3 linked regions of the Cricetulus griseus genome follow. The protein of the gene in region 2 purifies or fractionates together with the protein of the main gene of each other region. This does not show direct contact. Links are inferred from orthologs where the notes say so. Each region holds a gene or a part of one and is shown on either strand. Other genes may lie near its edges.

Evidence for each region.
Region 1: the proteins of Nck1 (region 2) and Wipf2 purify together in Homo sapiens (co-immunoprecipitation; 3 studies listed by BioGRID and IntAct, with this or other methods). This does not show direct contact. The link is inferred for Cricetulus griseus from reciprocal best matches to the Homo sapiens genes NCK1 and WIPF2.
Region 3: the proteins of Nck1 (region 2) and Pak1 purify together in Homo sapiens (affinity purification with western blotting; 8 studies listed by BioGRID and IntAct, with this or other methods). This does not show direct contact. The link is inferred for Cricetulus griseus from reciprocal best matches to the Homo sapiens genes NCK1 and PAK1.

What each region holds. Positions count from the first base shown.
Region 1 is NC_048600.1:111,942,620-111,952,395, reverse strand, and holds the start of Wipf2 (WAS/WASL-interacting protein family member 2), read right to left. Parts: upstream 4,462-9,776; 5' UTR 4,325-4,461; intron 4,158-4,324; exon of another isoform or gene 4,059-4,157; intron 1-4,058. UniProt on the Homo sapiens protein: Plays an active role in the formation of cell surface protrusions downstream of activated PDGFB receptors. Plays an important role in actin-microspike formation through cooperation with WASL.
Region 2 is NC_048597.1:208,845,918-208,855,593, forward strand, and holds part of Nck1 (cytoplasmic protein NCK1), read right to left. Parts: intron 5,086-9,676; 5' UTR 5,047-5,085; intron 2,807-5,046; 5' UTR 2,789-2,806; coding exon 2,563-2,788; intron 1-2,562. UniProt on the Homo sapiens protein: Adapter protein which associates with tyrosine-phosphorylated growth factor receptors, such as KDR and PDGFRB, or their cellular substrates. Maintains low levels of EIF2S1 phosphorylation by promoting its dephosphorylation by PP1.
Region 3 is NC_048596.1:101,661,980-101,671,755, forward strand, and holds the start of Pak1 (serine/threonine-protein kinase PAK 1), read right to left. Parts: upstream 4,819-9,776; 5' UTR 4,649-4,818; coding exon 4,580-4,648; intron 1-4,579. UniProt on the Homo sapiens protein: Protein kinase involved in intracellular signaling pathways downstream of integrins and receptor-type kinases that plays an important role in cytoskeleton dynamics, in cell adhesion, migration, proliferation, apoptosis, mitosis, and in vesicle-mediated transport processes.

The sequences.
Region 1 (9,776 bases), on a different chromosome or scaffold from region 2:
GTCGGGCTTTGGTGGTGCATGTCCCAGCACTCGGGAGGCAGAGGCAGGCGGATCTCTGTGAGTTCGAGGCCAGCCTGGTCTCCAGAGCAAGTGCCAGGATAGGCTCCAAAGCCACAGAGAAACCCTGTCTCAAAAAAAAAAAAAAAAAACACTCTAGACTAATGATGTGAAGAAAAGTCTGGATTCAAAGTCAAAAGGAAAATTCATTTTGGGGTTACCTCTAACATTATGGGGCTACTGCCATACAGTCAAGAAAACATTTTCATAGACCACCCCAAGATCATCAGAGAGAGCGGCATCTTCAACTACCTAACCTCCCCGTAGAATAGTCGGATAGCCTGAAAGCCAGGTAGCCAAGCCCTGGCTCAGTTATCTGATAGCCTGTGTGCCTCCACAGAATCTCTCTGCATGCCAAGCCAAAACTCCTAAGTTATTAAAAACTGACTTAGAGGCCGGGTGTTGGTGGTGCACGCCTTCAATCCCAGCACTTGAGAGGCAGAGGCAGGTGGATCTCTGTGAGTTCGAGGCCAGCCTGGTCTCCAGAGCAAGTGCCAGGATAGGCTCCAAAGCTACACAGAGAAACCCTGTCTCGAAAAACAAAATAAATAAATAAATAAAAATAAAAAATGACTTAGATATTAATATGCCTACCAACAGTTTTTTTTTCCCCCTCTAACAACATCATTAAGTTCTTTACATTTCATCCCCTTTGGGTTCTAAGACATGGTCTTACTCTATAGCCCAGGCTGTCCTTGAATTTGCAGTCATCCTTAGCCTCCCAAGTGCTGGAACTACAGGCATGAGCCACATCTGTCTTATGTTTCACATTTCTCAATGTCTTTGTTGCTGCTGTTGTTTTTGTTTTTCAAGACAGGGTTTCTCTGTGTAGTCCTGGCTGTGCTGGCTCAGGCTGGCCTCCAACTCAGAGATTCGTCTGTCTCTGAGTCCTGGGATTGAAGGAGTGCAACATCACCACCTGGCAACATTTTCAATATCTTGCCATAGATAAGGCCAGTAAACACTTGCTGGGCCTGGAGGTGTAGTTCAGTGGTAGAGCACTTGCCTAGCACTCATGAAGCCCTAAATTCAATCCCAAACACTGGTGAAAGGAAAGCAAAGGCTGACATGTTCCAAACTTTAGTCTATGAGGTTCTTCCAGCTCCAAGACTAGGGAGCAAGAACACAGGAAAGCTTGAGATGCTGTCTTCCTCAATGCCCTGGCCTTGTAAGTTAGGCAAATGCAATGATTCTGTATTTGATCACCACATAAATAAGAATTAGATTTGAAATTTAGAACAATTGCCCAAACATTCAGTGAAGAGTGCTGCCTCTTCCTTGCAGAGCAGTTCTCCAGATCTACCAGTGGACTTCATTTTGACTTGGAAAGCCCCATGCGCTCTGATCCAAAGCATATATTCTGAGACAGTCAATCAACCAGAACTCTGCCAGCCTCTACTTGGGAGCTGTGTGAAATACAGTTAACAAGAGCTTACTTTGAGAAAGAGATCAACAATCACACTCTTAAAGAAAAGAAGTTGTTTGGCAAAGGGATGCATGTTGCCAAAATGTTAGTCACAGCTTCAAGGTCCCAGTTGGTGTCTCTGCAACTATTCTTTGCTTTGACAGAGTCCATTCTCTGGCTCAAGAAACCCAGCTCAGCTTCTGTCACCCTCCGCATTTGAAGCAGTCAAGAATCCTTTCATTTTGGTGGCATCAAGCTGTGACACAGACAGGATGCCCACCAGAAGAAGGGGGAGGGTGACTTGCCACTTTCCGTTTAGGACTAGTTGAAGCAGAGCAATGGGAAAATGTGACAGGAAAGGAAAAACTGAAAATCATTGTGCTAAAGAAACAGGCCACTGTAGCAGCTCCGAGCTTCTGTGATAGCAAAACCCTTTTAAGAATAAACCAAAAAAATTTGTTGAAGGTGGCACTCTCCTTCAGTCCTACCTTGGAAGGCAGAGGCAGGTGGATCTCTATGAGTTTGCGGCCAGCCTGGTCTGCAGAGCAAGTTCTAGGACAACCAGGGCTACAGAGAGAAACCCTGTCTCAGAAAACAAACCAAACCCCAGCAGCACACAATTACACAGATTTTTATCTCCAAATATGTGCACATACTTCATGCCTGCAGCTCCTCCTGGAGTTGGTATGAAGACTAAGGTTTGCTACAACAGCCTGAACTAACAGTCCATGAACTTCAGAATTACTTGAGGGCAACAGGAAAAACACAAGTGTGCCAGGAAGCAGTTCAGAAGGCTAAAGTCAAGCAAGAACATGTGATGGTATTCCCTCCAACAGATCAGGATCCCTTTTCTTAGCCTCTATAGCTACACTCTTCCCAATATCCTTCCCCTCCTGCCTCTCACCCTTGTGTCCACATCACTAATCAGCACCACCCCATGTAAACACCATTTCTGATACCAAGAGTGAGACAGAATTCATACTGCCAAGTCTTTGGAGAATCCACATCAGAACTCAGAAATGCTAAGACTCTCAGAAACACTTCTAGGCTGAACGAGTTCACTTACCAGCTAAGTGTTCAAGGTAGTACAGCCAAAGAAAAAACTAAAACAGAATGCCAAAGGACTGACAACAAAGCATCTAATACTGTCTACAAGCATGGTCTCTACCCTCTGACAACAAGGCCACAGATACTGACTGAACCAAGGCATGCATACAGCTCACCTCTCTAAAATACTCAGGTACTTAGAAAATAAAACACTGCATTCTCAGAGTCACTAACAGCTGAACTCATTCACTTCCGACTCTAATGTCCATATCTTCCTCTTGGTGATAAACAACCCAGTAACACAAAAATCTCGACTATTAAAAATATTAAGATATAGGAAGATGTTAGAAGACTAAAGGTTATATATTAAAATACATAGAGATGCTGGGCAGTGGTGGCACACATCTGTAATCCCAGCACTCAGGAGGCAGAGGCAGGTGCTTCTGTGAGTTCAAGGCCAGCTTGGTCTACAGAGTGAGTTCCAGTACAGCCAAAGCAACACAAAGAAACCCCGCCCCCCCCCAGAAACCCCCACTAAATAGCAGTATCTCGATCCTGTTTTTCTTTACACTGACTTCAAAAATCAAATTAGTTAACTCAATCTTCTAGGGAAACAGATGGGTCAGGCCTATATTACAGAGGAAGAGAATGAGAGTTTAATGATGTCTCAAAGTTACATATCAATCTATACAGGAGCTAGAGGACTTCTTATTCCCTAAAATTCTCTTCTGATTCATAAAAAGATAAAAGAGTAGCTAAAAAAAAAAAAAAATTAACAAGCCAGAAGACAGAACTCCAAAGCAAAAGTAATAGAAGAAAAAAAAGGAGTGGGCCCGGGAAGTGATCAACCTAGTACTAGTCAAGTCACTTTAAAAATATGAGTTCCGGCTGGGCGGTGGTGGCACATGCCTTTAATCCCATCATTCGGGAGTTCGAGGCCATCCTGGTCTACAGAGTTCCAGAACACCCAGGGCTACACAGAGAAACCCTGTCTCGAAAAAAAAAAAGAAAAAGAAAAAAGAAAAAAATCAAAGAATTGCAGGGCTCGGGCGCAGCACAGAGGCAGAGCCTTGCCCAGCATACAGGGGGACCAGGATTCAATCCCCAGCAAGGGGGTGGAAGGTCGAGTCCAGTACCCACCATCTTCCTTCAGCTTCTCCTTCCAGAATATGCCTTCCTAACCATCCCCAGTCAGCAACTCAACCGCACACGCAGCCTACGTTTAGCACCTTCAGATTTCCATAGTCCCTCATAGCACACGGCTCCTACAGGAGCCTCCAACTCAGGTGCTTCCAACCGCATCTGAGACACCTCTCCGACTCCCTCTCTCCCACCCAACACCCTCAAGATTTCCTCCAACGTAAACAGCTTCCCTCCCAGCCATTCCTTTTCACCTAAAATCAATTCCGAAATGTCACATCGGCCTCCTCCACTCAGAGCATCCCGCGTTTAATAATTACCTTTCCCAACAGGTCCTCCCTCCCGTCCCCATCTCCCCCTCTGCGCACGGTTCCCCTCCCTCCTCACCCAGAGTGGCCGTCTTGCTCACCTCACCCAACCCTTCAGGGTCTCTAATTTCCTGTCTCGCAGAAACCTCCCTCCTGCCCATTGGCACCGGCCGCACGCCACCGCCCTCCACTCGGACGGCCCACGCCCCCTCCCCGGGGTCTCCAGGCTCCGCCCCCAGGCCCCCTCGGGCCTCCCCCCCCGGCCTCCCCGGCGTCCCCCCCCCAGCGCCCCTCCCCGGCTCTCCCTCCCACTCAGGTCGGCAGGTCACCTCAGCGGCGGGCTCAGCCGCCGCGGCGTCTTTCCCACCTGGCCGGGGCTGCTCCGGGAGCGAGTCCTCCGCCACCCGCGTCCTGCTGTAGTCCTGCCCGTTCGCCCCGCGCCAAGCTCTCTTTCTCGCCGCCGCCCCTTTTACCAACCCGGAAATGGATCTGCTCCCACCGTCCCCAGCGTCCGCGAACAAAATGGAGGCGGGGGAAAGAGGAGGAGGCAGCCGGGAGCCCAGAGGCGCGGGGCGCATGCGCCCGGAGAAGCCCGCCCTCTCCCGGCGCACGTGGGGGCGGAGCGCCTCCATCTTGAGAAGGTCGCGAGAGGAGCTCCGCAGCTGAAAGCCGGGTTTGCGTCCTGGGGGGCTGCGGTTGGGGCCGCCTGCGAGGCTCTCGATGAGCGGTGGTGCCAGCGTTCAGCCCGCGAGATGCTTCTTGAATTGGTCAAATGCAGTCTGAGCCTCTAGACCTTTAAAATTGCGCGGATGACTTTTTAACCTTCGGTCGTCATAGGGAATCACTGAGCTAACCGCTGTTTCTTAAATATGGGTTGTGGTTTTTTTTTTTTTTTTCGTGTTTATTCCGCTGCGCGTGCGAACACGCAGACATCCGCACACGCACACGCGCGCGCACCCCATAAGCCCTTATATGGTCTAGAGTTAAGGAAGAACACGACTCCGCTATCCTTGCAGGGGCCCGGTAGACAAGCTCCGGTTGTCATAGCAACAGAGAGGCAAGCGTCTGCTTACATGTCATCGGTTAGGTCACTCTAACCACTGAACCCGAACATCCTCCCCAGCAGAGGGATCCCCATCTCACCGGGCTGAGAGATGGTGTTGTGAACTACTCTGGGTGCCTGGATGAGAGGGAGGAATCCTTGTCCATTGCTGGCCTTCACTCTGTTGCAAATGACTAAGGATATCTTCACACACAAAAGCTTGTCACCACTCCAGGCAACCCCATTGCTTCCTCTCTGCTCCTCAGGTCAACCCAATGACCAGGGCTGAAACTCAAGTAAAAGAACAGTATGGGGGCTTAATCCCCACTTACTAGCTGTGCGCTCTTGGGCCTCAGCTACCTCAGAGTGTTTGTCCTTTTCTATTAGAGTCCTTGAAGGCTCATCGGGTAACTGATGGGAAAGCATGTGATAGATAAGTCATAAGCTGTTATTATTTTTGTTTTCCCTCTGTTCTGTCTTAAGTGCTGGGCCCCACCCACTAGTCCGGTAAATGTCACATTGAATACCTGCTGTGAGCCAGTCACTAGGCTAGATACCAGGAGGTGGTTCCAGAGGTGACTAAGACTGAGCTTCTGCCCTCTGGGACCTCACCATGCTGGTGCGCAGACTGGCATGTAAACAGCTAGCTGAGATCCAAGTCAGCACGTGATGAGTTGTGATGGCATGTGTGCTGGGATGTCATAGGAATGATTAATTCTTGCTGAAGAATGAGACAAGATTTTGTAAATGGTTTGAAGTAGTCCTCGAACGATGAGTAAAATTTTGCCAGGTTGTAGAGGCGTTCAGGAGGCAGAGGCAGGTGGATTTCTGTGGGTTGGAGGCCAGCCGGGTCCACAGAGCAAGATCCAGGACAGCCATGGCTACTTGGAGAAACCTTGCCTCAGAAAACCAAAAAGAAAAAGAAAAAAGATGAGTAGAATTCCATTACCAGTCGGCAAAGGCAAGAAACACATGCCAGTCAGGATCCATGAAAATAGGGTGGTTGCCTCATCATTTTACCTATCTCATCCTTAGTGGCTCAACAGTATGTGGACCTACTTCTCAGCTCCTGAAACATGCAATGAAGTTCCCACCTCAAGGCCTTTGAGTGGGTTATCATTGTCCTATCTTCATTGTTCTAGCCTTTGCTTCAGTACTCCAGAGGGTAGTCTGTGCCCAGTAGAGCTAAAGTAAGCCCCTGCTCTTACTACACCACTCTATGCCAAGGGCAACCATGAGGGTGAATACAGAGGCATCTCATTTGGGGACATATTGATAATCTTTATGAAGAAAGAAACCCAGAGGCTATCTCTCATTTTCTACATGAAGTCTGTAGGAATAGGCCAGGGTGGGAAGGAAAAGAAAGCACGCCAGGAAAAAATTGTTCAAAGCAGAAAGAATTTTTTTTTTTCTTTTTTGAGACAGAGTTTCTCTGTGTAGCAGCTCTGGCTGTCCTGGAACTCCCTCTGTATTCCAGGCTGGCCTTGAACTCAGAGATCCACTGCCACTTTCAGGTCTGCAGTGAGAGTGCTGGGATTAAAGGTGCCACCACACCCAGCCAATATGTTAAATTTTTATTTATTGTGTATTCTGGAGGCACACCATAGGACACATGTGGGGTCAAAGGACAATTTGCAGGAACTGGTTCTCCTCCCATCCTGTGGATTCTTGGAACCAAACTCAAGTTGGCAGACTTGATGGCAAGTGCCTTTCCAGCAAGCCATCTCTCCAGATTCTCCCTTCCATAATAAATATTCAGATGTAGTTAGAGCTAGAACTTAAAGGAGAAAGAAAGTAGGTTTTAAACAGTAATTGAGGGCCAGGAGGAGTGGCCCAGCCAGGGATACACAGTGAGACTCCTGTCTCAAACAAGAAGACATGAAAGGAGGAAGGTGACATGTCAAACAGAAGAGTTCCAGAGGGAGGAGAAGGGGATAAAAGAGGGGGTAGGAGTGATTCTGGTCAGTATATTATATAGATGTATGAAATTGTCAAAAACAAATACTTAAAAAAGAAACTGTGGGGCTAGAGAGATGGCTCAGTGGTTAAGGGCACTGGCTGCTCTTCCAGAGGACCTGAGTTCAATTCCCAGCAACCACATGGTGGCTCACAACCATCTGTAATGAGATCTGGTGCCCCCTTCTGGCCTGCAGGAGTACATGGAGGCAGAACACTCACACACACACACACACACACACACACACACACACACACACACACACACGCTGTAAGTTTTGACATTTATTGCAATTTGCCATATACCAGTAATTGTCATAACGTTTAATCCTCACAGTTTTCTCAAGTAGGTAATAGTATTCCCACTTTACAGGTAAGGAAATGAGAGACATGAAGCTTAACTATCTATGTTCAAGTCACCTACCTAACAAAGTAGCAGACATGTCTTCATATTTTGTGCTGTCAGTGCTCACACCAGTGACTCTGTACCCTCCTTTTTTGTGAATGAGTCGTTTTTATGTGTATGAGTGTTTTGCCTGCACCTATGAGCAGTACAAGGCCTAGTATCTTTGGAGGTCAGAAGGCGGCATTGGATCCTGTAGAACTGGAGTTGCAGATGGCTGTAAGCCACCATCTGGATGGTAGGAATCGAACCTGTGTCCTCCATAAGGGCGATAAGTATTCATAACTGCTGAGCCATCTCTCCAGCCCCATGATTGTAGTTTTATTATTTATGTATTTATTAATTTATTTATTTGGAGGCAGGGTCTCACTATGTAGCTCTGACTGGTCTGAAACTCACTATGCAGACCAGGCTGGCCTCAAAGTCACAGAGATCTGCCTGCCTCTGCCTCCTGAGTGCCATGATTAAATGTGTGTGCCATCACCACCCAGCTTAAGAGACCCTATTTTTAAATATATATGCTGGGTAGCAGTGGCACACGCCTAATTCCAGCACTTGGGAGGCAGAGGCAGGTGGATCTCTATGAGTTCGAGACCACCCTGGTCTACAGAAAGAGTGCCAGGACAGCCTCCAAAGCTTCACAGAGAAATCCCATCTGGAAAAGCCAAATAATAATAGTAATGATGATGATGATGGTGACAATAGAGTTGGGGAGAAGACTGAATGGGTAAAGTGCTTGTTGCCTAAGCAAAAAGACCCAAGTTTGGATCTGCAGCACCGATGTAAAAGCTGTGTGATGTGCACTAGTAACCCCAAAGCTGGGGTGACAAACACAAGTGGATCCCACGGTAGCCAGCTAGTCTTCCTAAATCAGTGAGCTTCAGGTTCTGTGAGAGACCCCATCTCGAAAATAAGATTGAAGATGGGCGTGATAATCCATACCTTTGATCCCAGCACTACAGAGGCAGAAGCAGGCAGATCTCTGTGAGTTCCAGGCCAGCCAGAGCTACACAGTGAGACCCTGTCTCAAGTTGGGGTAAAGCTCTATGCCAAATTATTCCCACTCCTAGGCACCTTGAGAAAGTATTCCCTGTGGTGACACCTGGTGGTTGCAGATGTTACTGCCTGAATTCCTTGCTTACACTCCCCTGCTTACACTCCCAACAGATCCTGGTTAGGCTGGTATTTATTTATTTATTTATTTATTTATTGTTTTTGTTTTTTGAGACCAGGTTTCTCTGGATTTGGAGGCTGTCCTGGAACTACCTCTTGTAGACCAGGCTATCCTCGAGCTCATGGAGGTCTGCCTGCCTCTGCCTCCTGAGTGCTGGGATTAAAGGCGTGCACCACCAACTCCCAGCTAGGCTGGTCTTTTGACCACTCTAGATTCTTTTGATCATTTTACCATCCCAGGAGACCCAATGCTTCTGTTCAAAAGAATGGATTTGAGACCCAGGATGACAACTTGGCCTCTTGTTGCTTCTGTTTTAAAAAAGAAAAATTGTCTCTAGCCAGAGATGATGGTTTATGCCTATAATTCCAACACTTGGGGAGTGGAAGCAGTTGGATCAGGAGCTCAAGGTCATCCTCAGCTATATGGAGAATTCCAGGTACAACTAGAAGTCTCCCAAGCTCTCAAATTTTCATCTAGAAAGTAGAGCTGACACAGCCAGCTCTGTGAGTTTGCTGGAAAGATTAAATGAGAGAATATGAACAAACCCTACAATGTCAGTACTCAGGAGGTTGAGGCAGGAGGATGCACAGAGTCCAGGCTAGAAAAAAAAATATAAGCTGATCACAGGAAGTGGCAAAGGACATGCCCTGGAATGTCACCTTGTAAGTAATGACTGATGGTTCTGAGAGTGGCTGAATCCACGATGAGAGAAGTAGACTAACTAGGTCACTTCTCTGCCCGCCCTGGGGTGGGAGCACAACAATGGCAATGTCCTCTGTACCAGGGCAGAAACTGCTCAACATCCACACTTCTGTCCCCCCTTGTTGTCCTGTACTGGTCCTATAGGGCAGGGGCAGCCCTCCATACTGAATGAAGCCCAATTCCTGAGTGACTCCTAGTGGCTCTTCTCTAGCCATTCAGTATTGCGTGCACTCAAAGATGATCCGTAGGCCGTAATGCTAAGATTTCTTTATTCAGATAAACACCAGCCCAAACGCGAGCCAGAGCGTGCCCAGAGGCCGCAAGCTAGCGAGGCCAGAGAGAAGGGGCATCTATGTGTTCATGGCCTCTTAAGAATTCTCTCCACGTCATCTTCCACCTCCTCTGTAGGGGCTACTAGGAGGCGGGGCTACAATGTCTCCCTACAATTCAGTTCCACATTCTGGCTGTCTATGGTGGTACATGCATGCAATCCAACACTCAGAGGCTGACACAGGAGGATGGAGAGTTTGAGACCAGCCTCA
Region 2 (9,676 bases):
AAACAAAGGAGCCCATGAATTACAAAGACTACATTCTCTTCCAACAAAGCGCTTACTCCTTTGTTTTGCCCTTTCCCTTGGAATCTCTCACTAGGTTATACTTTGTTTCCTTAGGATTCTTGTGTGTGTGTGTGTGTGTGTGTGTGTGTGTGTGTGTGTGTGTGTGTGTGTATGTAAGAGACTTCTAGAATAATTTCTTCATTTTTGTACAGACAATTAGCAAATATTCAAAGAAATTCAATCCAGCACATGATTATCATAAACATGCCGCAAGCAGACCCAAAGTAGCTTAGTATTATACTTACAAATCAGTACTTGTAGTTTATCATCACTCTCATTAAATATTCTTGACATTAATCCAACAAAGCTTAAGTAAAATCTAGTTTTAAAAAAAACTTTTATTTCAAAGGTCAAGAGTAAAAGAATTTGTTCACAACTGACTTCAAATGCCTAGATTCTGGAGTTACTAAACTACAGCTATCTACATCACATCCATAGCATGCATATCCTCTCCCTATTTATTAAGCATTCTCATGATAAAACGCTTTAAAATTATTTATCAGATCGAATAGCATTGAAAAGACTACCAATCATTTACCTTGTTACATAAACAGCATAAAGTACCAGCTTATATAAACACACTGAGTTCTCAACATATAGTTTCCCTCTTAATTCACGAAAGGAAAAATCCAATTCAAAACATGTAACAATGATGGACTTAAATAACAGAATAACTTACTGAAAAAGCCTTTAAAGACCTTTAACCAATCCATTTTGAATAAAAATTGTGCTCTCTTTTCGGAGTTTGTTGACACAGCTCCGGGATAATTTCAGTGAGCTTCCTGGTCTGCTCTGTAACCCTGAAACTTCCCACACCCAATCCATGTGACCTGGCCCACACCCAAGCAATAGAAACAGTTTTCAAAACCAAGGCTTCTCTTTCCAATACTGTTTCTCCTTAAACCATAAAATAACCTGTAGAACAAGTAACTCCTGGTGGCAGGAACACATGAGTTATAATTCAATAATTTTCAAAGAAAATATTAAAGCTAGTACATTTTTTGTTGTTTTGGTTTTTTTTGTTTGTTTGTTTGTTTTTCTCTGTGGCTTTGAAGCCTGTCCTGGCTGCACTTGGCTCTGGAGACCAGGCTGGCCTCAAACTCACAGAGATCCACCTGCCTCTGCCTCCTGAGTTCTTCCTTTCCTATAACTCCTCCTTTTCCTTAATTTCCAGACAATGTCTCCACTAGCACAGGCACTATGAAACAAATTCACTAAATTACATGGGATTTAAGGTACCAAAATGGGGTGCAGATATTCTGGGAAAAGAGGGGGGTTCAGATATTTGATACAAAATCTAGATTCCCAACATTATTTTCATCAAAGACCACTAATTTAAGGTAGCATTCCCAAACTTTGGGGAATGCACACAGCCACAACTGTAATAATTAAGTAAAGTTAATAGAGGTTCCCAAAAAAGACAAAAAGTCAACTGGTCAAATGCCACACTGGCTGCAGATATTAAAATATCAAGTACACCAGAAATGTCTTCATGTAGGAACTCAAAGTCCAATGCTTCACAAAATTGCTTGAATTGTACTACATTTTATCTTTCACAGCTTACAAGAGTTAAAGATATAAACATTTACTCTATATTGACAATAATTATTAAAATACCAGAATATCAATTGTGCATTAAGAATTTTAAATACTATTTAATAATAATATCAGTCATGCTTGCCCCAAACTGTCTTCAAGAAAACATTTCCCCCTTTTTACAAATAAGCAAAGAACTATTAAGCAATAGCATGTCTCCTTGAACACCAAAATTAAATGTCTGTTCCTCCCAATTCCTTCCTGTCCATTAAGGAAAGTTAAATTAAGAAAAGGGAGGAGGTCAGTCTTCATCCTACACACTTCCTTCCTTTAGTTTAACCAGGGTCAGGGTGAAGTAGGTTCCCCTATCTCTGGCCCTAATAAAGGCCAGTAAAAATTTAAAACAAAGATAAACAGAGGAAGAAAGGTAATGACAATAAAATAGGAAATGACGGGTCCTATAGATACAAGTATACAGCAATGACCGACTGGTGTAAAACTCTTTTCAGATAGAAGAAAATAAAAAGATTTGCCTTTTAAAGTGACATGTGTTCACTACATGTCAAAAGTTCACTAATGTGCCATGTAAAATAAATTACCAGGATGTCCAAGGAAACAATTCTGCATCTCACAAACTTTTCAATTGGGGCAAATTTTCTGTAAATCAAAACTCCATGAGGTATTTAATACTCAAGAAGCTGTTTCGAGAAGGTCAAAGTTAGTTCTGCTCATTAGTGCCATTTGAATGTGGGCCTAGATTTATAGAACTGTTAACATGATCTTCACTAGCCTCTTAATCAGCTGTTAGGAACTCAACTTACATACCTAGCTAACATGACTGTTCTGGCCTTTCCCAGCCAACTTTGTACACTGCTGTAAGGATTGTGTTCAAAGAACTAAGCTCCAGAAGCTATCTAAAATGAAAGCAGGTGTTTTTCCTTCAATGTGAAACAACTTACAACTTACCCAAGGTATCCTTCAGGTTCTTAACAATAGATGCTTTCCGAGCACTGTTTTTTCTTTCCACATAGTTAGAAGGGACAAAACCTGTTTTATTCATGGAATTTCGAACTCGCCACCAGGATTTAGAATCGTCCAAAAGCCACAATCTCTCATTCTTTTTGATATCCAGCTCTTGCTCTTGCTGTGCCACATAGTCAAATTTGGCTACTACCACCACTTCTTCAGCCATCTTTCAGCAGCTTCAGTACTGTAACACATAGAAAATGTTTTTACATGTTGCTGAAGTAGTAATTGTCTACATGCTTTTCCAAACAGATATGCTTAAATATTTAAAAACACAGATATTATGAACCATGTGTATAATCCAAACACTCAAAAGGGTGAGGCAAGAGGACCTTCACAAGTTTGAGGCCAGCCTTGGCTACATACTGTTTGAAGCTAGACTGACCTTAAGACCCTATCTCAAAACCAATACACAAAACAAGAGACAGAGGCTGACGCTGTATGTAGTTCAGCAGTAGAGTATATGCCTAGCATATGCACGGCTCTGAGTTCAACCTGTTTCAAAAATAAAAAAAACCAAAACCAACCAAACAAACAAAAAAGAAAATGGAATAATGAAGCCCATTACTCTGTAATCTGGCTTAAAAAATTATTTAAAACTTTCACGTTACTAGAAAAAAAATTATGAAGGAGATGTTTAGTTAAAATTGGGGCTACCAATTATAACCCAGTGGTAGAAGAGTGCTTAGCACTCAGGGGTAATCTCTAGTCGTCCCCTTCTAATTAAAGTGACAATTCGGGCTACATCAATCAATAAAACAAAGAAAAAGTACATCCAAATATCAGGAAGCACAACCTTATCCTGCAAACAATCTAAGGGAATGGTAACACAAACTATAAATAAATCTGAAAATAATGAAATACAATGATGAAACTGTATGAAAAAATAAAATATAATTTGTTTATATACATCATTTTAAAAGAAAAAAATACAAGCAAATTGAACTTTTAAGACCAATTAAATGCAAGGAAAAGAGCCTTCAGAGAAAAGGTATGGCTCTTGAAAAACATTAAATTGTTTCAGGATTTATTTTTTTTCATAGGCAAACCAGGAATGAGATGTGAACAACTGTAGCCGTTTTACCAGCTGGAGGATGAAACTGACACAAAGTAGGAAGACAGTTCCTTGGGGAAAGAGCCAGAATTGATAAAATATGACACAAGCAACCCTCTGACCCTCCAGGTCTTTGAGTTAGTAATGAGAAGATTGTTCACTGTCTCAGACAATTTGGGTCATCCATTTACTGTTATTTTCAGTTAGAAGGCCACACTATAGGTAAAGTTACCCTACTAGATAGTTACAATGTACTTAAAAAATGCTTAAGTAATTTAAGAATATATAATACTGCAACAGAAACATACAAATCGATACAATAAATACACAGATACATACAGTTAAGCTTTAGAACTCCCCCACACACAAGTGAGTTCTAGTTTAGGCTTTTAAAAAGTGGAGTATTTGAACTTACTTGTGATCTAAATATTGAAGTGATTTCTGTTTATATTTTTATTCCTTCTTCTCCCAAACATTTTACACAGACCAATTCAAAAGCAAGTAATTTTTAGTAACTTTCTTTGATAAATTTTTCTAAAGTATCAAATTAGTTTTCAAAAAACAACTTTCTTTAAGCACTATTTGTTTATATAATAAAGTTTAACAATACATATTCTTGAAAGAAACTTTCTCAGTAAGCACATTCAACTTAATTCACAGGAACAGAACTGTACCAAGGATATCTAGTTATATGCTTCTTTAACAGAAATGGAGGGGCTTAACCAGGCAAGTTAGCTAAGCAACTTTTATTGTATAAAAGCATTCAAATATATAAGGCTTTTGTATAAGAAGTAGCACTGTAAATCTCTTCAAATTAAGTTATTTAATGAAATAACTGATACCAGGATAACTGTCCTATTGGGAAAAATAGTCCCAGATTTCTAACTAGACAGGACTTTTATTTTTGAGGAAGTTATCCTTCTGTTAAGTACAATGAAATTCCTAAACACTGTGTCAGAAGAGCAGGGCAGAAGTGGGACACTCAAAGTAGCATGTTAAAGAAGTCGGCTGGAGGAGACTGGAAACCCATCTCTCCACCAAAGCTAACACTTAACCAGCCATGTGCAGAACAGGTGTATGTACAAACTGCCCAATCTGCCAGGCCCCAGCACCACTGACAGTCTAACATCTTCTCCAGACCTCTGACTTACTTCCTTGTCAAGAAGTGCTATTTCTTAATAAACTGCCTCTGTTTCTACAGCCATCCAAATGTCCCAGGTTAAATTTCTTGTTCTGGAATTCAAGAACCTGGAAACCGTAGCAGAGTCCTAGAGACTCCAATATCCACCAATAGCAATAATACAATAAAACAGACAAGAAAACTGAAAAGTGGAAGCACTAAGGATGTAGTTCAGTGGTAGAATACTTGCCTAGCCTGGGTTCAATCTTCAGTACAAACAAACAGATACCTGAAAAGTGAAGAGAAAATAGCTACAGATCTCAGGACCCAAAGAAAGATACAGTGGTCAACTTTGGGTCTTATTTGTGAAGGTGAAGACTGGTGAAACAGATATATCAATATCTACCAACCAGTAACATCAACTTGTGTTCTCCAAATAATCATCCCCCCCCCCCAAAAAAAGGGGGCCTACTTGGCAATACAGAAAATTATAAACAATAACTATTTTACTCCAGTCAAACAGCACAGGAAGTAATTCATGGTCGGGCCCACAGAAAAATCCAAGTAGGAGACCAACACCTGCAGCGGCAATTATGGGACACTGCAATCTCACCAGAAGCCCAATTAATGAGGAAGAGCCTTGACTTATCAGGCAGGCAAAAAAGACCTAAACAACATGGTCAACCAAGAGGAAACAAATTAACATTTATAGAATCCTCTGCCCCCAAATATCATTAACATGCGCCAGGAAACAGATAGGAAGATAAATCTTAAGGTTCCATTACCTTTTAGTACTTTCATATTATAAACTAAACCTCTTTGAACCCTTAAAAGACAAAGTACTTTGACACACACTTTCAGCTACTGATTTCCAGTTTGATTCTGTTGTTCAATCACTGTGTGATTGAGTTCAGTCAAATTTGTTGAGTTTTATTTTTGCCAAGTGATTAAGAGTTGGGGCCTAATGGAAGGTGATTATGTCAGATGTGCAGTCCTTGGAAGAGATTAATGTTGTTTTAATGGGTTCTCAATGAGCTGCCAAGTAGCCCTGGTACATATATCCTTTTGCCTTCACAGTTTACCTTGTGTTCCTCTCCTACCATACATGCCATTTGCCATATGTGCTATAGCCAATGGGAATACAGAGTAAAAACCAATGGGACTGCATAAATCTAGAATTTTCTATCAGCTAAAACTGACTACAGGTCAAAGAGGAAGTCTTCAAGAGAATCAGATGTCATAATGAAATAAGTAAAAATGAAAATTTACTTAAACATACATTAAAATAGGGAAACCCTTACATCAGAACTCTAACATCCTGTATAAGGAAGAAACTGACATAGCAGAAATCAGTGAAATTAAAGAAAAATAGATTTTAAAAAAATGAAACAAATTGGTGCTTTAAAACAGAGCAATAGGAGCTGTGTGTGGCGGTGCACCCTTAAACCCCAGCACTTAGGAGGTAGAGGCAGGCAGATCTCTGAGTTCGAGGCCAGCCTGCTTTACATAATGGATTCTAGGACAGGCAGGGCTACAGAGAGAGACCCTGTCTTAAGTAAACAAATAAATAATAAATAATAAATTCAACAGGAGCTGGAGATATAGTTCAGTCAGTAGAATGCAAGAGGTCTTGGGTTCAATCACCAGCACCATATAATGGCAGTACACACCTGCCTGTAATCCTAGAACTCAGGTACCTAGAACTCAGAAGTAGAGGCAAGAAGATCAGAAGTTCAAGGTCATCCTCCAATAAATATGGAGTTCAAAGACAGCCTGGGCTACAAGCCCTCTCCTCCTTCAGAAAAAAGAAAAGTGACAAACTCTAGACCAAGATAGTGGTGTATGTTTAGAATGAGGAAGGAAAGAAAAGACTGAGGGAGGGAAAAAGAGGACAATGGAGAGGAGATATCACAGGATAAAAAGGATAACAGGGAATACCACAAATACCTCTATACATGCAAATTTGATTTCTTAGAGGAATCAGACCGGTTCTTCCCAAACACAAATCACCACAACATACTCAACACACAAGAGTATTTGAAAAGCCACATAACTAACAAAACAAAATAAATTTGTAATTTAAAAATGCCACCCCTCAAAAGAAACTACCAGCCAGTATACTTTGGGACTATATATAGAAAAATGACTAGTAAAATATTAACAAAAATAATTAGCAGTATATAAAGAGACAATATTCTATGATCAAGTGATATCTGCTGTGATACAAGCCTCATTTGATACTTAAAATTCATCCATAAAATCTGCCACATTAACAAGCTTAAAAAAATCATGAACTAGTACCAAAAAGGCATCTAGCAAAATTCAATATCCATTCATGACAAACATTTACAGAAAAAACAGAAACTCCTCAGCTTGATACAGCATGCACAAAAACCCAACAACTAAAGCCATGCTTAAAGGCAAGGGAATAGATATTTATTTACTGTCAAATGAAAATCAACAACAGTGAAAGGCTAACCTCTCACCACTGGATGCTCCATTCAGAGAGGAAGAAGAGGAGAGGGAGAAGAGAGGGAGGGATGGAGGGAGGGAGGAAGGGTATGAACAATGGGCACGAAGACCAGAAAGGAGAAATAAAACTAATCTTTTTTGGAGACTCACGACTGCAGAGAAGATGCCAAGGAATTCATAAAACAAACAAATCATCTCTTAATACTGTTTAAAAAATATGATTAAGAAATGGAAGTGGTGGTTCACACCAACAGTCCTGGCACTCAGGAGGCTGACAAAAAGATCACAGAAAAATTACTGTCACCTTTGGATGCCATGAGATCATATCTCAAAATATATATATATATATATATATATATATATATATATATATGAAATGGAAAGTCATTGGAAATAATGTGGCACTAAAGCCTTAAGTTACTATATAAATAAAGAAAAAGAAATTCAAACTTAAGTTAGTAATGACTGGTGCCTATACAGACTTGAACTTCCCCTTTGGATACTCCAAACAAAGTAACTTTGTTGACTGTTTAATTTTTTTGAGACCACCCTCCACCACCACCACACCCTGGCCTTAGCCTCCAAAGAAGATGGTGCTACAAGTTCATACCACAGCATGTAGCTAGACTTGAGAACATAAGATCTGCAAAAACCAACCAAATCTCTACACACCAATAATGAATACATGAGCACCAAAATTAAAAACACAAATCGGGGTGTGGCAGTGCACACTTGTAATCCTCAGCTACTCAGGAGACTGAGACAAGACATTCCAAGTCTGTGGCTTGCCTAGACGACTTAGAAAAACCCAGTCTGAAAGTAGTAGAGTACTCGCCTAGTATGTGCAAGAACCTGAGTTCAATACCCAGTATAGCAAACATATTTATGATAACTCAGAAATGAAAAGGAAAATTATGAGAGAAATCTAACAAAACATGAAGAATTCATAAGTTGGAAAGCTGATGAAGACCTAAATAAGTAAGTGTTCATGGACTAGAAAACTAAACAGCAAAGATGTCAAATTCCTCCAAGTCAGTGAACAGGTTTAAGCAAGCAACAAAAGCAAAGTGTGTGTGTGTGTGTGTGTGTGTGTGTGTGTGTGTGTGTGTGTGTGTGTGTGTGTGTGTGTGTGTGTGTAGTGTTCTGCAGTCAATTTGACACAACAGGGTCACCTAAGAAGGGATCCCAACAGAGAAAATGCTCCCATCAGAATTGAGTAAGCCTGTTGGGTTGTTGCTGCTGCTTTTGTTTGTTTGTTTGTTTGTTTTAAATGACTGATGTAGGAGGGCCCAGCTCACTGTGGGCAGTACCAACCCTGGGCAGGTGATGCTGGGTTCTATAAGAAAACAGGCTGAGCAAATCAGGAGGGGCAAGCAATCAGTTTTTGTTTGTTTGTTTGTTTAAGTTTTTTTTTTTTTCTTCCGAGATAGGGTTTCTCTGTGTACCCCTAGCTGTCCTGGAACTAGCTCTGTAGACCAGGCTGGCCTCAAACTCACAAAGATCTGTCTGCCTCTGCCTCCCAAGTGCTGGGTTTAAAGGTGTGAGCACTCCTTTATGGCCTCTGTTTCAGTTTCTGAATCTAGTTTCCTGCCTCGTCTATGATATGTAAGTGTGAATGAAGTAACTTTCCATCTGCTTTTGGTCATGATGTTAGGCAGACTTCACAACAACAGTTGAGAGCCATAAAATAAATGAGAAAAAAAGAGGAGAAGACATGAAGATACTGCTGGTTGTGGTGTGGTGGTGCACACCTGTAACCTGAGCACTTGGGAGACAGGTAGGAGGACTGTCCCAAGTTTGACATTAGCCAGGATCCACATAGCAAGTTCTAGGCTAGCCAGAGCTAAACAGCAAGATCCTGTCAAAGAAAAAAAAAAGAAAGGGATAGGAAAGGAAAGAAAAGAGAAAGGGGATGGGACCTAACAAAGCATCATCCACTGAAGAACATATAGAGATAGCATCAGTACACAAAAAGATAGTCATTAGCTATTAAAGTCACATTAAAATGCCACTATATAACTATCAGAATGGCTACTTAGAAGACTAATAATGCCAAATGCTTACACAAATATGGATCATTAATACACAGCTGATAAAAATGTGATCACAGCTATGATAGAAGACAGTCATCAGTATCTAGTAAAACTACCACAAACTAAGATTGCCATCCTGGATGTTTCTATAAAACTTGTGTTCATATGTTCTTACCAAATTTTTATGTAATTTTCAAAAATAGCCATAGTGATATCCTTTAATAGAAGACTGACTTTAAAAACTGTGGTTAATACATACCAAAATGGAGAAAGATTGATTACAAAACCTGGATAAAGTTCTAAGGTAATTACACTGAGCGAAAAAAGTCAATACTAATGATTACTCATTCCAGTAATTTCATTTACTGGAATGTA
Region 3 (9,776 bases), on a different chromosome or scaffold from region 2:
ATATGTTATGCTAACTAACATATACACAGTAACTACACAGGCACTTAGCTGATTTTAGATGCACTAGACTCTGACTCTACCCTCAAAAGAATGCACAGCCTAGTGGGAGGAGAGGATACAAAATCCACATATAACAGCAAGTACCAAGTGCAAAGAGGTGCTGCATAAATCCAGAAGAGAGGCCCTAACAGTCAAGGAAGACTTTAAGAGGTGGCTTTAGAGTTTATTTTTGCAGAGTAAGAATAACTCTTACCAACTGTAATTTTTATTTTTAAAATTTTATTTATTTTTATGTGCGTTGATGGTTTTGCCTGCATGTATGTCTGCATGAAGATGCCAGATCCCCTGGAACTGGAGTTACAGACAGTTGTGAGCTGCCATGTGAGAGCTGGGAATTGATTCTCTGGAAGATCAGCTAAGGTGCTTAATCACACTGAGCCATCTCTCCAGCCTTGTATTTTTTATTTTTTTATAAAATTACTTTTGAGCTTTATAATAAACTCTTCAGTGTTAATATAAATTATTTTTTCATTTTATATATGAAACTTAGATTAACAAGCAAGTAACCAGTAATTACTAAAGTAAAGACTTTGTTTATCATAAAGAGTCACTAAAAATATAATCTTTCATACTGGCTTCCTACCATCTCTCTGACCTGAATAAAGCACTTGATTACAAAAGTTGGCCTCCACTTTGAGCATGGAGTTCAACTATCAATCCTGAAAACCTTTTCTATCTATTCCTTCTTTTCTTGTATTCACCAAGAATAAGACTCAAACTTTAGATTACTCAGTGTCATCCTTAGGCTTCTGGGCTACAGCATCTGAGCATTTTCTCAGTGTTTTAAGAATGCATCTAAGAACAATAAAAATAATACGGGGACATCACTATACAAAGTGTTTTCATACATTCATTGCTTCACTAGATCCTCATCAACTCTACAGGGTGTTATACTTCTGTTTTTACAGAAGTCAGTGACGTAAACACCTAGCCTATCTGGTCTTTGAACTCTATCTTGTGCCAGAAATTGAATTTAAGAAAGCAGGGAAGAAAAGGGGGAGAACGGGATCAAATAACTCAAAAAGGGTGCACAGCAGTGAGTCACTTAAAGGCCTGGAGCCAGAAATGAACAGGGACAAAGTCTGTTTCCTTCCACATGTTAATTTGTTTCTGTCTCAGTACTATCTATACTCTAGTCCCAAAGACAGAAAAAACAAGAAAATTCTTTATTCACAACATGGACATGTTGTCAGGGGATAACATGGTCAAAGCAAACTCATAGCACCATTAAAGAAGACGAGTTTATAATCCAGCCCTGCCACTGATTTGTTGAACCTTAGTCTCTGACACTGCATCATCATAGCTCCCTGTGCTTCCCTCTACACTGCTCACATGAGGATCCACCCACACCTTTAACCTGCAACTGAAGGCAGCAAATGAATCTGACTCCTACTTTTTTACCTAGCAATGAGCACCATAACTAACATGATGTTGATGACTGAAAAAAATTTCTTTTTAAATTACATCTATTTATTTATGCATGTATGTACTAGGGTAGTGGCGAGTGCATGCCATGGTTCATGTATCTAGGTAACTTGTAGGAGTTGGTCTTTTCTTCCACCATACCAGACCTGGGAATAGAACTCAGGTCATCATGCTTGGTGGCAAGTGCCCTTACCTGCTGAACCATCTCACCAGCCAGAAAGAACAATTAATAATGGATGGATGCCCCACTGAAATCTTTTGTATATGTACACACACACACACACACACACACACTGCATATTCTAGATGGTGTCAATGAAACAATAACCCTGTCATTCTCATTTCTGTTTCCCCTCTTACTTTAGTACTTTAGGATACTGCCCAAGGAAAAACAATTACAGAGCAAAATAAGCCACTCCAAAGAGCCCTAAGTCAGAAGAGGAATTAACCTATATGGTCCCGTTACACATCCTATGCTTCCCTCCACAATCACCCTTAACCCCAAATGATACCTATCTCCATTTCAAAGCCCCTTCAAAAGAACACTCTCTTGCCCCAAGATTCCACCTTCTCCTCTTCCTCCTACTCTGCTATCCTGTCTCTGTGCCTCCCCCCTACACACACACACACACACACACACACACACACACACACACACACACACACACAGGTCAACCTTTCCTTCAAGTCAGCAGTACCTCGGGGGTGCCAACTGATAACTGGCTATCTCCCAGCTCCTCATCTAAATGACAGACTCTCTTACCTAGCTGTATTTGTACTTGTTCTCCAGCTCCAGCCTTCAAACTATTGACTTTCTATTGTGCCTTTTCCCTACTGCCCATGTTATGCCTTGGCGCAAGGAAAAAGATGGAGAATTAAACCAGGAAGAATGATTGCTTACTGGGAGGCACCAAAACACAGTCCGAGGGCAATCAGGAGAGAGCCTGGCATTTAAAGAAAATAGAGTTTAAGTGAAAACAAGAGAGCTAGAATGTTTGGACCTTACAAACATCACAACAAAGGTCCCTACAAACCAGCAACCTACTACCACTGAGAAAGTACAATCAAAAATTCTAAAAGAAAAAGAAAAGAAAGCCTAACCAAGAGGGAGAGGATGCAGGGGAGAAAAGAAAAAACAGAAAACAAAAACAACTGGTTATAGAGGGGAAGAGACAAGAAGTGGAAAGCATGAATACAAGGAAAGGAAGGAAGAAAAATGGTGAGGTAGGAGAACAGGTGAGGGGGCAGGCAAGGAAAAAATGACCAGGAGGAGGAGGAAGGAAAGGAAGGCTTGTCAGAAGAAATACACAGCTTTTTTGAAACTGAGATTAGAAAGCAAGCCCAAAATAATCAAGGTACATTAATATTTGTATTTCTTGGTGCCAAATAATAAAGGAAGGAATTACAGTGATTAAGGCATTATACAATCTCAAGGTCTGCAATTTACTTAGTAGATCAATAACAGTGCTCCTCAGAAGACAGCCTAGTTTATAGCAGTGGCCTAAGTATCAAAGAATTGGCCAGTTCAGGGAAAAATATTAACATACTTTCACCTGTTTCTTCTCAACCCCCACTGCCCTACAGCAACATACCTACACTGGCCCCTAAGAGAGAATCAGCATTTTCAACCTGTCTTGCCCTGAAGTCACTGGTTCTAATCAGACCAGCAAAATACACACAGAAGGCTGGCTCCTCTAGTCTGTATCTAGCTCACCTTTCCAAGGTAACCTGACAGCCTAGGAAACCCAGTTACAAACATTGTATACCCTTCTCTACAAATAAGGAAACTGAGGCTCACAGAGGCTGCCTAAACAGGAACAGCACCAGGGGTCTCCTTCTTCACTGCATCTCCTACCAGGGAGCAGTACCTTTGATCCTAGTAAACCTTCAGCTAAACCAAGGCACAGAAAGGCATCACCCAGGCCACTAAGCAGAAGCATGCTTACAAAGGAGGGCAGGGGGGGGGGCCTCATAGTTCCCCAAAAATCCAGCTTCCCCTTCTAACCTTTTCTAGCCAGATCTCTAATTCCAGCAAAGGCCTAGCCCTGAGTGGGCTTATTTCAAGGTTCCACCCTGAGGCCCTTCCCTCATTAAGAGTCCCTTAAGGTAAGTGGAATGTAATGCTCTTCCATTCTACCCCACAAAGCAGCAAGACTCCCCCTCGTCCTACCCTAGCTCAGCCTAGCTGTGCCAGGCCCAGGAAAGGCCGGCATTACCTGGCAGGGAGTGCGGGGCCCAGCATCTCTGATGATCTTGTGTATCTGTCGCAGCGCCGCACCTCTCCCTGCTCAGCAGTTGCGACAAAGCCAGGGCTGAACCAGCCTGACAGGCTGGATTCGGCTGGGTACAGCAGAACAGCCACACAGCTCCAGAGGAGCAGCACACTCTGGCCCTCTCAGGGCGGCAGCAAAGACAGAGTGGTTCAGTGAAGGGGCGGGGAGGGAGGGAGGAACAGAGAAAGGGAGGGGAAGGGGGCGGGGAGCGCTCTCCCCGCCCTCTCCTTTCTGAAGAGGCGCTGAGGGGCGGGAAGCAGCTACATCCCCACCATTCTGGTTGTCTCTGCTGTTCTACCAACTCAGGCTCCAACAAGAGGTGCTAGGCAGGCTGTCTAGAGCTACCAAAGTCCCCTTGAGCCCCAGGATCAAGAAGAAAACCGGAGATCCTCTGTGCCTTAGTTCTGCAGCCTGGTATTGAGGAGTCTTTCCTAGACCTCCTCAAATCAGATTGAAGGTTCTTTCACACTAGGATGGAGAGGGGGAGATCTCTTAATATTGACTCTCAAAAAGTTTCCCTTATACCATCCTCTCCTTTGAACAAAGCTCAGCAATAGCTACCATTTGTTAAGAGCTATTTATTGTATGTGTCCCAGTACTTTACAAGCCTTATGGAGTAAGCACTACATCAATTCACAGGTGTCAGAATTGAGGTCCTAGAAGAATATGATCTCCGAATTTCTTAAGGACCTGCTAGATACTAGTCACTATGACAGAACTAGACCTGGACAACATATTAAAGAACCAACTCTGGACTGTCCCCTCCCAATAAAAGGTACCCCTAAAGGACTACAATGATTTAAAAAAAAAAAAAAAAGTACCTTCACATATTTCCAAGTGCTCCACAGGAGACAGTATCTCTCACCACTGGCTCCACTCATCCAACTCATCCCTTGCCTTTGAGGTTTATGACTGGAGTCAAGTTATGCAGATTATCTCTTCCAGGTCACAATTAATGAGTTTGGATGTTTTAAATTATTTACATCTCTTGTAATAAGATTGGAGGATAACTCATGGGAATCAGTTTTCTCCTCTACCATATGGGTCCCAGGGATCAATCTTGGGTTGTCAGGCTTGGTGGCAAGTGCCTTTACTCACTGAGCCATCTCACCTGCTCATAACTTTAGATTTTGCTCCAAGTTTCAGCAATGGAAGTGCTCTGAAAAAACAAAATGACAAAAGCTGACATTTTTAAAAGACCCCTGGTCAGTGGGAGAGAGTGAGGGCAAGAGCACATTAACAGAATCTCTTAGAGCTATAGGCAACAGAAAGAAGAAGATAGTACTAATTTATTATAATATCTAAGATGAAAAGAAGTAACACATTCTGAAGATACTGCTTGAAAGTAACACAGCAGACCAGGTATAAGACAGGAAGCAATGGATAAGAAAATACGGTGACTTCCCCAGCATCACACATCCAGTAAACAACACAATCATCTATATACCACGGTCTGGTTCCTAAGCCTGTTTCTTTTTAGTCCTCTCATTTATCTGTTTTGTTTATAACAGATCATTGTTGGTCATCTTCATACTAACTCCAGTAGCCCAGTCTTTACTGACTAGCATAGAGTATCCACTAGACCAGCATGAAACCCAACTCACTAAATATTCAGCCATCTTCCCTGACAAATGTTTGCACTTCCATTCAGTGTGCCCAAATTCATCTAATTGCAGAGAAAGAACTGTAAACAGAAAAAATTCAGCTCTTCCATTATTCACCCTTTCCAAATCTTGAGTATGTGCAGTATTTGAGGAGATAGGAATTTCTACATTAAAAAAAAAAAAAAAATGGGGCTGGGCAGTGGTGGTGCATACCTCTAATCCCAGCACTCAGGAGACAAAGACAGGCAGATCTCTGTAAGTTCGAGGCCAGACTGATCTACAGAGTGATTCCAGAACAGGCTCCAAAGCTACAAAGAAATCCTGTCTCAAAAACCTAAAATAAAATAAACAATTGGGACCAGTAAAGTGGATCAGTGGGTAAAGGCACTTGCTGCCAAGACTGATGACCTGCGTGTTCTGATGGAAGCTTCACCCCAGTCCCTGGCATCCATATACCCAAAGGATCTGGAATGTTTTGGTGGAAAACCCCCTCCCCCACCTCTCCAAACTGCCCCATCTCAGAAAACCCATCAAATGATGACCCCTCCCCCAGAGATGTTCAAGACCACTCCCACAGGGTATTTACACTGTACACCAGAAAACATTGTTTCCCGGTCTCTCTTTTCTGTCTCCTCCCTGGGGGACTGGAAAACCAACCAGGAGAATTGTATCCATTAAATCTGGGCTTTTTCTAGTTTGGTTTGATTTGGTCTAATCTGGATTGCTATACTGGTGGAGAGGCTTATCAGGGTGCAGAAACTTTTCACAGAGTTCAATCCTTGGGACACAGGTTAAACACAAGTATCTCTTTCCCATGTTTTCCTCTGATCTCCACATGTATATCATGACATATGATACACTACATACACAAATAAATAAATGCAATAAAACTTTTTAGGTACTGTAGAAATGGTTCAGTAGTGTTGAGCACTTGTTGCTCTGATAGAGATCAGTCCTTGGCACCTACAAGGTGGCCCACAATCATCTGTAACTCCAGTTCCAGGAGATCTGACCCCCACCCCCACTTATGATCTCTTTGTTGTTGTTACATTTTTTGTTTGTTTGTTTAATTTGGTTTACTTTTGTGAAATAATGTATCAACCAGGCTGGTTTGGAACTCATTTATGGACCCTAGGAGGACCCTGAACTGATAACTCTGTCTCAGCCTCCTAAGTGCTGGAATTACATTAATGTAACCACTACTTAAGCTTAAAGTGGTTTTAAGATGGTCATTTACCTTCATACTCTGTCCATTCTAATTACAAAATGAATGACAGAAAAGGAGAGAAAAAGAAGGAAAGAATCTAGACACAGTCTTTATAGTTTTCACACACAATTCAAAATGGGTCATAGATCTAAATTCAAGACTATAAAATGTCTATAGTATAATACAGGAGAAAATCTTGATTGTAGTTTTGTTGTTGTTTTTTAACTCTTTGGGGGCCCACCACCCAAAATAAAATACACAGAGACTTATTCTTATTTATGAATGCCTGGTCTTAGCTTGGCTTGTTTCTAGACAGCTTTTCTAACTTAAATTATTCTGTTTCTCTTTAATTATATTTTGCCTCTGGGCTTTTTATCTTTCTATATTCTATATATCTTTCTTTCCTTCTTACTCCGTGGCTGGTTGTGTGTCTGGATGGCTGACCTCCTCTCCTCCCTAGATTTCTCCTCCTATTTATTATTCTCTCTGCCTGCCAGCCCTACCTATTTGTCTAATGCCTAGCTATTGACCATTAAACTCTTTATTAGACCAATCAGGTGGTTTAGGCAGACAAAGTAACACAGTTTTATAAAGTTACAAATATAACATAAAAGAATGTAACACATCTTTGTATCATTAAACAAATATTTCACAGCATAAACAATGGAACATATCTTAAAATAATATTCCACAACACTTGATGATCTTGATTTAGCAATGGTTCTTTTTAGATGCATTATTAAAGACACAATCCATTTAAGAAAAACTAGGTAAGCTGAACTTGATTAAAACATAAAACTGTTCTTCAAGAGACAAAAAAAAAATGAAAAGACAAGATGCAGATACATATATTTACACAGTGTATGTACATAATGTGCTTTATGTACATATGTGAAGTACATAAAGGATTTGTACCCCAAATACACAAAGAATTCTTAAAATTTAGCAATAAGAAAACAACCCAGCCAGGAGTTGATGGTGCACGCCTTTAATCCCAGCACTCGGGAGGCAGAGGCAGGCGGATCTCTGTGAATTCGAGGCCAACCTGGTCTACAGATCGAATTCCAGGACAGGCTCCAAAACAATACAAAGAAACCCTGTCTCAGGAAAAAAGAAAAGAGAGAGAGAGAGAGAGAGAGAGAGAGAGAGAGAGAGAGAGAGAGAACAACCCAGTTTTTTTAAAAATGGGGGAAGCAGCTGGGGACTGTAGCTCCATAGTAGAACACTTGACTGAAATGCACAAGATCCTAGGTCCTAGGTTCGATCTCGGGGGGGGGGGGGGGGGGGGGGGGGGGGGATGAGTTAGGTGGAGATCCACCAACTATAGAGCTGCAGTTGCACTGGCAATATTTTAGGACCAATGAGATAGCTCAGTGGGTAAAAACATGGGCTGCATAAATCTGACAAGGAAAAGAGAACTGACTCCACAAAACTGTCCTCTGACTTTTACATGCATGCCATTACATGTGCATACCACACCAATAAAACAAACAAACAGGCAGGCAGGTAGGAAGATGAATAAATAAATAATAAACAAGAACAAAATGGCTGGGGTTATTAGCATACTGGTAGAGTACTTAGAAAGCTGAAGCAGGTAGACCATGAGTTCCAGCATAACTTAGGCTACATGATAAGACCCTATCTTTAAAAGCAGGTAGAGATAGCTCAGTGGTTAAGAACACTGGCTGCTCTTCCAGAGGTCCTGAGTTCAATTCACACCAACCACGTGGTGGTTCACAGCCATCTATAATAAATCTGATGACCTCTTCTGCCATAAAGGTATACATGCAGATAGAGCACTCATACACATTAAATAAATCAAAAGAAAAAAAAAGCAGGTAGAGGCAAAAGACTTGCCAAAGACAATAATCATACAAAAAGATACTCAACATAGTAAGCCATTGGAGAACTGCAAATTTAAACAATGATGTGACACTACTATTAATTCCTAATTAACCTAAGAAAATGCTAAAGTCCCAAATACTGATTAACAACAATGCTGAAGATGATGTGAAACAGCAGGAACTCTCATTGCTGATGAAATACAAAATGGTAATCATTTTAGAAGACAACTTGGCAATTTCTTACAAAGCTAAAAATAGGCTTAGTAAGAAATTCAGCAATTGAACAGCTAAGCTTACCCAAATGAAAATTGATTATAGCCCACCCCAAAAAAAGTCTCCCTTGTATACACAACAGCTCCAAACTGGAAGCAATCAAGACATTCTTTAATTAGTAAATGAATAAACTATGATAAGTTCATACAGTAGCATATGCAAAAAAGAAACTATCAAACTACAAAGAAAGGGTCATGGCAAAACCTTAAATGTAGGATGCTAGTGAAAGAAGCCATTCGGAAAAAGCACTACATGATTCCAACTACATGATACCCTAGAAAATGCAAACTACAAAAACAGTAAAAGCGTAAGAAGAGAAAGCTTAACAAATAAACAGGTAAAGCATGGGACATTTAGAGTAGAGAGTCTTATAATACTATAATAATAAATACATGGTATTACACATTTTTCTACACCTACAAAACTACACACACAACAGAAAGAATAAACTAATTCAAACTACAGACTTCAGTCAATAATAATGTGTTCAATACTGGTTCAACCAATTGTACTTACAATTCTGATAACAGAGGAAACTAAAAGCTGGAGAGGGCTCAATGTATATTCTGCTCAATTTTCACATAAATCTATTACTGTTCTGAAAATGATTATAAAAGAGAAAGTATTAAGAAAAAAAACTTAGCTAGGTAGTGGTGGTGTACACCTTTAATCCCAGCACTCAGGAGGCAGAGGCAGGTGGATGTCTGTGATTTTGAGGCCGCCTGGTCTACAGAGCAAGTTTCAGGACAAGCTCTAAAGCTACACAGAGAAACCCTGTCTTGAAAAAACTAACTACCTAAATAAATAAATAATAAGAATGAAAAAGAAAAAACTCACAGACAAGAATAAGATGTGCTTTCTTTTAAACAAAACTCATTAAACATAAAATGACTGTCAAATTGCTGTAGATATCTAAATACCTCTCAATTTCTATGCCTTTCTCACTACAGACTGTGAACAGTACAAACTATACTTTGGTGGTATTCTAGGGCAACCTCCACTAAACACAGAGCTGGTTGCAATGACCCCAAGGAATTACTCTTAAATACAATCTGTCTCTTCATAGTGTTACTATTATCTCCTTTAACTA